Linked DNA regions of Canis lupus familiaris. The protein of the gene in region 1 interacts with the protein of each later gene in a pairwise test. Links are inferred from orthologs where the notes say so. Each region holds a gene or a part of one and is shown on either strand. Other genes may lie near its edges.

Region 1 (4,406 bases):
ACTACTTTCAGACTTCGTATTTCATGAACCTTTTTTATTTAAGCCATTTTCGTTCAAGTGATGCTTGTACATATTTGAACCATAACATGGTCCACCCTTTAAGAAATACTGTCATAAATATTGGTGGTGTTCCTCAGGGCTCTGTTCTAGACCCTATTCTCTTCTTACACTCCCCCCCTGTGTGATCTCATCCATTCCCTTGCTTTTAAATATTACCTACCCTAAAGATTCCTAAAATGTTTCTAACCCAGACTCTTCTTTTGAACTCCCAAATCATGGAACAAACTCTGTAATGGACATTACCATTAGGGTGTCTCCCTGGCACCTCAAACTCAATATGTCAGTATGTCTTGATGTCATGATCTGTTCCTTTGAGCCTGTTTATCCTCCAGACTTTATCATCTCAATAAAATGGCACTGCCATCTCCTCAGTTGCTTGGGATAGAAACCCATGAATCATCATTGCCTCCTCCTCATTTGTGATGTCTGATCAATCACCAAGTGTCTTCTCCTCTTCTCTCTACCGTGCTACCCCAGCCAAGGCCACCATTGTGTCTCATTTGACCCTGCCTCCTGACTTGGCTTCTCCAACTGTTTCTCTACATTGCAGTCAAAATGGGCTTTCTAATATTCAAAACTAGTCAAATCTCTTCTCTGATTAAAATTGTTGTGTGACTCATAAGTAGTCCCTCTTGTCCATTCCCAATGCATCTGGTGAGGCCCTTAATGTAAGGTTCATTGTGCTTTTATTGAATTTATTGTCTGTTCCCCACTAGTCTCTAAGCTCTATGGAGCACAGGACTGACATATTTCCCCATACCTCACAACAGTGCCTGGCATAGAGTAGGTAATAAAGGTGAAGTTAAATGAATGGATGAATCTATAACATTGTTTTGTAAACCATGGGTTTTGACCTATCAGTGGATCATGAAATCAACCAAGTGGATTTATAATGAGTTTTCATTCTAAATAGAAGAAAAAAATAGATAAGAATAGTATGCAATAAAGATATTATTTCACACAACTTTTTATTATAAAATGTGTAGTGAGTTGCAGTGGAATAAAAATGAAAGCCACTGGTCTATTATAAGCAAGCACTGTTTCCAGAATGAGGAAAAAGCAGCTTTCCTGCTCAGGAAAACAGGAAAAAAAAATGTCGAACTGACAACCGAAAAGGATTCCTGCCGTAGGAGGTTTGTACTTTTACAGATTTCAAAGCCTGAAATTCAAGGAAGAAATTGCCTACTTCAGAGTTTTAGGTTTCTGTAAGCAAATGACAAAAGTATTTAAAATCCTCCACAGATCCTGTCTGGCAACTACTACCATAGGCCAATTAAGCTTAAGAAGGTTGTTTAATTCTATTTCCTCTGAAATTATATCTTAAGCATATTTAGTCTTGTTTGTGTCTTGGAGAATTTGTTAACTGGCTGCTTCTCCAGCCTTCTCTCTTTAAGAGCAAGAGTGCCTGAGCCAATGAGGTGCTGCCATTCTGTTTCCATGGCAATAAAAGAAACAAACCTTCTGCCTGCTATCTCCCAACGACAAACCTCAAACTCAAGGCCCAGGTCAAGAGAGTCTGAATGGAAGGTTGACTTTCTCTTTTAGTTTGACTTTCACTGCAATATCGAAAGACTCAAACTAGACTGACCTTAGAAGGGAAATTTGCCCTACACATACTGTGGATTTTCTGCTTTGGCATTTCAGTCACTTGAATGACCACTAAAGTCTCGAGTTCTGGAACCTCCAGATTTGATCTAAAATGAATGCTATTTTATGTTGATGAGAAACTGTTTTTCTATAAAATTGGGGTGTCTTTAAGACTCTTGACTTGGAAAAGAACTACACGGGAGAAACAAATCTTTGAGCAGTCCAAGGTAAGCTCTTTGGAAAGCCTTTTTTTTTTTTTTTAAGATTTTATTTATTTATTCATGAGAGAGAGGCAGAGACATAGGCAGAGGGAGAAGCAGTCTCCATGCAGGGAGCCTGATGTGGGACTCAATTCCGGGACTCCAGGATCATGCCCTGAGCTGAAGGCAGGCGCTCAAACGCTGAGCCACCCAGGCATCCCTGGAAAGATGTTTTATGTAATTTTTTTGTCTGGTTATTAGTACTAACCTGTGATCTTTCTGAAGGCTCAGCTGGCTCACAGGTAACTACAGTGTCACTAATTAACATATTCAGTCCACTGAGCCTCGGGTAAAATCATCACAGAAAAATACAGAAAGGAAAAGAGTAGGGAAAAAGAATCCTAAATCATACATGGTTGTGTACGCATAGACAAATACACATACATACATACACCTCTATATTCTTTTTTTTAAAGATTTTATTTATTTATTCATGAGAGACACAGAGAGAGAGAGAGAGGCAGAGACATAGGCAGAGAGAGAAGCAAGCTCCATGCAGGGAGCCCAACATGGGACTCGATCCCGGCACTCGATCCCGGGACTCCAGGACTACACCCTGGGCCAAAGGCAGATGCCTAACCGCTGAGCCATCCAATAGACCTGTGCAGTTTAAACCCATGCTGTTCAAAGATCAACTGTATATGTTGTATAAGCCCCTCAGATATCGCCCTTGCCACCTTGGTTGCCCCAGCTCTTCCCTTGGTACTCCCAGACCTCCTCATAATTAAGCATAATGGGTTTAATGCCCAGCACAAGAGTAGGAGCAGAGTTTTGTAGGACCCTGTTCCAGCCCTATAACCCATGTCTATTCTGATTTTTCAACAGCTTTGTCTTACTAGTTGTTAAGTATTTTGAGTATTTATCTCCATATGTGTTTAGATGAAGAGGGCTTTACTTTTTAAAAGCAAAAGAAAATATACCAAAGCACTGTTTACAATAGAAAAAAAAAAAAAAGGAAACAACCAAATGTTCATCAATATTCAACTGGCTAAAAATGTAAATGGGTATGGTTGTAGGATAGAAATTTACACAGTTATGATGCCAAATAAACAAATCTTAGACTTCTAGATTTGCTTTGAGTATAACTTAAATGATGGATTTGTTTTAAAAATAATCTGGTATTAGAGGAGTGGGCTGGGTATAGATGAATGATATTGGCCACAAATTGCTAAATATTGAAACTGAATGACAGGTGAGTTCATTATACTTTTGTACTTTTAAAAACTTTCAATACAGTAAACTTAAGTTTAAAAAATGACGATATGCGGGGATGCCTGGGTGACTCAGTGGTTAAGCATCTGCCTTCGGCCCAGGACGTGATCCTGGAGTCCTGGGATCAAGTCCCATGTGGGCCTCCCTGCATGGAGCCTGCTTCTCCCTCTGCCTGTGTTTCTGCCTCTCTCTCTCTCTGTCTCTCATGAATAAATAAATAAAATCTTTTTTTTTAAAAGATGATATGCCTATAGTTACTGGCATTAAAAGAAACTCATGACATTGTTGATAAAAAATATATATATATAATATATGTATGGTTTCTTTCCATTTATGGAAAATTATATGAATCTCTTTCTTTTGTCCAGGGTGAATTCTAGAAGTTATTAACCAAAATATTTTCAGTGGTCATCATGTTAGTATTTTGGATAATTTTTACTTTTTTACGCTTTCATGTATTATGATTTTCTTTACAGTGGGCCTATTTCAATTTAACACATACATACAAATAAATCCATTTTCTCCAAATATTAGAAATAAAAACTTCGGTATGCAAAAATATCACTAGGGTTTATAATATTCCTAAACTCAGTTACCAGTTTTTGAGAACCTAATGTGTTCAAGGCCATGTGCCAAGAGCTTTTCTGACATGGTCTCATCTCATGTGCATGACAATACAATGAGGTGGAACTTCCATGTCCCTATTTTGCAGATAAAAAACTGAGACTCCGAAAAGCAAAGGTAAATGTCTTGAGGTCCCACAGCTATTAAGTAGAGGAGCTGTTAGGCAAAGTCAGGCCCACCTGATTCCAAAACCCAAAGAAAATTTTAGGAAAGAATGCCGTGGGGGGAGAAAAATACCCATAATTCTGATATTCTGGCCCAATTTTCATTTTTTACCATATTCTTTTCTAACTATTGTGCATATAGGCACAAACTTTTGCATAATTGTATGCATTGCATGGATACCATTTTATATCTTCATTCTTAACCATTTCTTCATGTTCCCACAGGGTTTCAAATAATCAGTTAAAACCTATGTAAAACTCCATTGAGTGACTGTACAATAATTTACCAATCATTTTGGTTTTTTAATTCTAATTTTTAACATTTTCTATAACATTGTAACAACGATTACATTTCGTGGCTTATCTGTGGATCTCCTTCCTCCTTGGTGAGTCGGTCCCTCTAGTTTCAGCCACTGGGCTTATTAGGCAACAAATATTTATCCAGTTACCCGCTATGGACAGTCACTATTCCAGGCTCCACGGGGACCCAGACAATGAC
Region 2 (4,324 bases), on another chromosome or scaffold:
CTGGCGACCTGCTGGCCCCTGGGTGTGGGGGAGCAGAGAGGAGGGGGGTTCCCAGCTGCCTGGGTCCGGGGGGAGTGGATGAGGCCTTCCCAGAGGTGGAAGCCCAGCAAGGGGCCCATTTATCTCTGGAGGGAGAAATTGCAGGTCCCAGGGGCCAGAAGACCAGGAGAGAGGAATGCTGGGTGGAGGGTGCTAGGACCGTCCTGAAGCAGAGCTGGCACAGCCTGGTGACCCCCTCAGCCCCAGAGCCCCAGCGCCCCCGGGAGGCTGGTCTCCATCACACAGCAATCAGAATTCAACCGCCATGCACCCTGGCTCCTGGGCGAGGGACGGACCCACACACTACAGCCTGGGGGGGTGGGCCGGTGGGGAGATGGGCTCCTGGGTAAGGGACGGACCCACACACTACAGCCTGGGTGGGGGGGGCCGGTGGGGAGACCCTCCTGGCAGAGCATAAGCCCCTGGGGGTCGGAGATCATCTAAGCAGCTCGCTGTGTGACCCGGGGCAGGCCACCTGCCCTCTCTGGGCCTCCACTTGCTCATCTGAAAAGGCAGCCACGGGGAGGGGGGCTCGCCAAGGCTGTCGAGGACGGGGAGGCCACAGACTCCGGGGGCAGACAGATCGGGCTGGGATCTGCTTTGGGCTGCGTGATCACGCTCAGGGCACTTTCCCTCTTGGCCTCAGTTTCCTCATCGGGAAAGCGGGTACAATAAAGGTGTCTGACTCATCCCCAGGAAAAAGGGGTCACGCTCAGGAGGTGGGGAGTGCTGTGCCCTGACCTCTCTCTCCTGTGAGGGCTGATGAAGCCAGGGCCCGTCCTCCTGTCCTCCAAGCCCCCGGGGGACTCAGCCTCTGCTCGGGGTCCCAGCTGCACCCCAGCCCTGCCCACCCCTGCTCCCCCATCCTCCCGCGAACACAGCAGGTGGTTCTAACAGGATCCCAGCCTTTCGAGCAGCGCCTGGCAGACCCGAGGCACTCAATAAATACTTCTTGAATGAATAGATGAGCGCGTGAGTGAATGAACTCTCTGAGATGAGATTAGCTTTGTCACATTGGCAAACTGAGACTCCAGGTGGGTATGGCCAGAACCACTAGCCTGGAAGGTTCCAGTACGGAGCTGGAGTTGCCCCCTGGACTCTGGCCCACGGCCACTGGGGAGATTCCTGAGATGTGCCCATCAGCCCTCCTCCCCTTCCCACCCTCGGAGAAGGGTGGCTCCCTCCCAGCCTCTCCCGCTGTTGGAGGCGTGGGTAGCAGCTGGGAGAACCGGCTGGGAGCTGCCCCTCCCCTTGGGCGCGGAGGTAGGCACCTGGCGGGCTCCTCCGGTGGCAGACGCCGCTGCCGCACATAGCTGGCCCCGTGCCTCCTGCTCCTGCGCGTCCTCCCCTCCCTGCCCTCACCGGCCTGCCATGGACGGGCCCGCCGAGCCCCGGATCCCGGCCCTGTGGGACACGCACGAAAACAACATCTCAGAAATCAGGTGAGGCCCGGGCCTGGGCACCAGCCAGGAGATCCCCACTCCTCCTCCTCCTCCTCCTCCTCCTCCTCCTCCTCCTCGTCCTCCTCCTCCTCCTCCCTGTCCCCGGAGGAGGTGGCCTGCAGGAAGAGCCATGAGCCTCTGCATTGGTGGCCTCCAGCCTCCTGCTGCCTCAAACTTGACCCAGACCAGGACCTGGCTGGCTCATGCTCTGGGTGCAGGTCTCTCCTGGAAGGGAGTGGGGCACAAGGCTGTGCTGAGTGACTTGCTGGGATGCCTGAGGTGTCCCCGACTGTCGCAGGGTCTTGGTTTCTCTGTCTTCCAAAGTCATCTTCCTGATAAAGGGCTGGATGAGGGCAGGAGTTGGGCTCACAGTAACTGCTCGGGAAACATAAGGGCCTGGGGGCCCCTTTTCTTGCTGGACGCCCCAGAGCACCCCCAGATGGGGATGCTTTCCCTCTCAAGGGCTCGGAATGTGATGCCTGCTGTGTTCACGGGAAGATGGGGGAGCAGGGGTGGGCAGGGCTGGGGTGCAGCTGGGGCCCCGAGCAGAGGCTGAGTCCCCCGGGGGCTTGGAGGACAGGAGGACGGGCCCTGGCTTCATCAGCCCTCACAGGAGAGGTCAGGGCACAGCACTCCCCACCTCCTGAGCGTGACCCCTTTGTTCCTGGGGATGAGTCAGACACCTTTATTGTACCCGCTTTCCCGATGAGGAAACTGAGGCCGAGAGGGAAAGTGCCCTGAGCGTGATCACGCAGCCCAAAGCAGATCCCAGCCCGATCTGTCTGCCCCCGGAGTCTGTGGCCTCCCCGTCCTCGACAGCCTTGGCGAGCCCCCCTCCCCGTGGCTGCCTTTTCAGATGAGCAAGTGGAGGCCCAGAGAGGGCAGGTGGCCTGCCCCGGGTCACACAGCGAGCTGCTTAGATGATCTCCGACCCCCAGGGGCTTATGCTCTGCCAGGAGGGTCTCCCCACCGGCCCCCCCCCCAGGCTGTAGTGTGTGGGTCCGTCCCTCACCCAGGAGCCCATCTCCCCACCGGCCCACCCCCCCAGGCTGTAGTGTGTGGGTCCGTCCCTCGCCCAGGAGCCAGGGTGCATGGCGGTTGAATTCTGATTGCTGTGTGATGGAGACCAGCCTCCCGGGGGCGCTGGGGCTCTGGGGCTGAGGGGGTCACCAGGCTGTGCCAGCTCTGCTTCAGGACGGTCCTAGCACCCTCCACCCAGCATTCCTCTCTCCTGGTCTTCTGGCCCCTGGGACCTGCAATTTCTCCCTCCAGAGATAAATGGGCTCCTTGCTGGGCTTCCACCTCTGGGAAGGCCTCATCCACTCCCCCCGGACCCAGGCAGCTGGGAGCCCCCCTCCTCTCTGCTCCCCCACACCCAGGGGCCAGCAGGTCGCCAGCCCTTGCTCGGTGCATGACCTTGATGCAGGCACGTGCCCTCTTGAGCCTCAGTCTCTCCATCTGGAATGTGGGGGTGAATAGCCCTCCCCTGTAAGCAGCCCTAGGCCTGAATGTCTGTAGCCCCCTGGGTGGTGCCCTTCGGACCTCAACCTTTCTTCTCCAGGAGCTTCTGGAAGCCCTGGACCCAGAAGGATGCCCCTCCCAAGGGGCCTCAGCACCCTGCCTGTCCCCCCGCCCCAAGGCAGCTCAGACAGGCACACCATGCCCATCTGGAGTGGGAGCTCAGTGGCTCCCCCGAATCTTCCATCCTCTTGGGTTGCCATCTCGGGGATGGCCCCATCATGGGTCCCCGGGTCACCCCCAGGCACTGCCCCTTTCCCCCTCCCCTCCTGGGACTCTCCATACCATGCCCTCACCCTGCCTGTCCCCCTAGGCCTCCTCTCTCTGCCTCACCCCAGCCTCCCTGCTTCTAGTCCTTCCCAGAGCTGTCCCTCCCCTCCCTCCAGTCCCAAGTGGTGGTGGCCTGATGGTCTGGCCTCCTGCCTGTATTCCATGTATCCTGGGACTTCCATTCCCGGGTCACACCTCACTGCTCTCTGCCCCAGTGCCTTTGCATAGTCATTTCCTCCGTGAGGATTCCCAGAGAAGTCTTTTCTAATATCCAAATCTACCTCTGGCTCAGGTTCCTTCTGTGGCTCACTAGCACCCATGGTGATGGTTTGTTTCTAGAACCTTTTGAGACAGAGATTTCTTTGTTCCAGACTAATCTTACTCTGGGGGAGAAACCCATAATAGAGTTCAAGACAGAGCTGCTCTGGTTTAAAACAGGGGAGTGGGGCTGAGGTCCCGCTGCTCACCCTGCTGCATCTGTGGGAGCACTTGTCTTCCCACAGTCCCCACCTTCCTCAATGCCAGGGCCCCACCTGGTTGCCTCCACACCCACTGCAGCCTGGATCTCACACCTTGGGGCCTGTGCCTGCGAACATTCCTCTGCCTGGGATGATCTCTCCCCCTCTTGGGGCAAACTCCCTCTCGCACAATGCCAGATTCTTGGTGGGTCCCTGAGCACACTTCCAGCTTCAGACTCATCCCACACACCAAACGGGGGACTATTCACCGACAGGGACAGAGTCAGGCCACCTCGGGGCCACCTCGGGGCCCTGGGGAGTCTCTGAGAATGATGTCAAGGAATGAATGGAGATTAGGCAAGCCGGGAGCCAGGGCTTGCAGGATGAGTCAGGGCTGGAAGGCAGGTGAGCAGGGGCAGGGCAGGCAGGGAGAGGGGAGCGGAAGGGACCAGGGGCCAGTGGGAAATTCTCACAGGGACCAGTATTAGGCACAGCCACATGCGTGACTCTTAATGTCCAGCCAAAGAATTCGCAGGATATCTTCTGCAGCCTCGTTCCACTTTTTACACTCCCCCTTCCCCCCGCAGCGAACAAGAA

Evidence for each region.
Region 2: the proteins of FLACC1 (region 1) and SULT2B1 interact in binary tests that used the Homo sapiens proteins (3 or more experiments, as listed by UniProt). The two-hybrid records come from large-scale screens. The link is inferred for Canis lupus familiaris from reciprocal best matches to the Homo sapiens genes FLACC1 and SULT2B1.

Annotation. Positions count from the first base shown.
Region 1 is NC_049258.1:10,293,135-10,297,540, reverse strand, and holds the start of FLACC1 (flagellum-associated coiled-coil domain-containing protein 1), read left to right. Parts: upstream 1-1,504; 5' UTR 1,505-1,874; intron 1,875-4,406.
Region 2 is NC_049222.1:108,410,504-108,414,827, reverse strand, and holds the start of SULT2B1 (sulfotransferase 2B1), read left to right. Parts: upstream 1-1,287; 5' UTR 1,288-1,410; coding exon 1,411-1,481; intron 1,482-4,324. UniProt on the Homo sapiens protein: Sulfotransferase that utilizes 3'-phospho-5'-adenylyl sulfate (PAPS) as sulfonate donor to catalyze the sulfate conjugation. Responsible for the sulfation of cholesterol.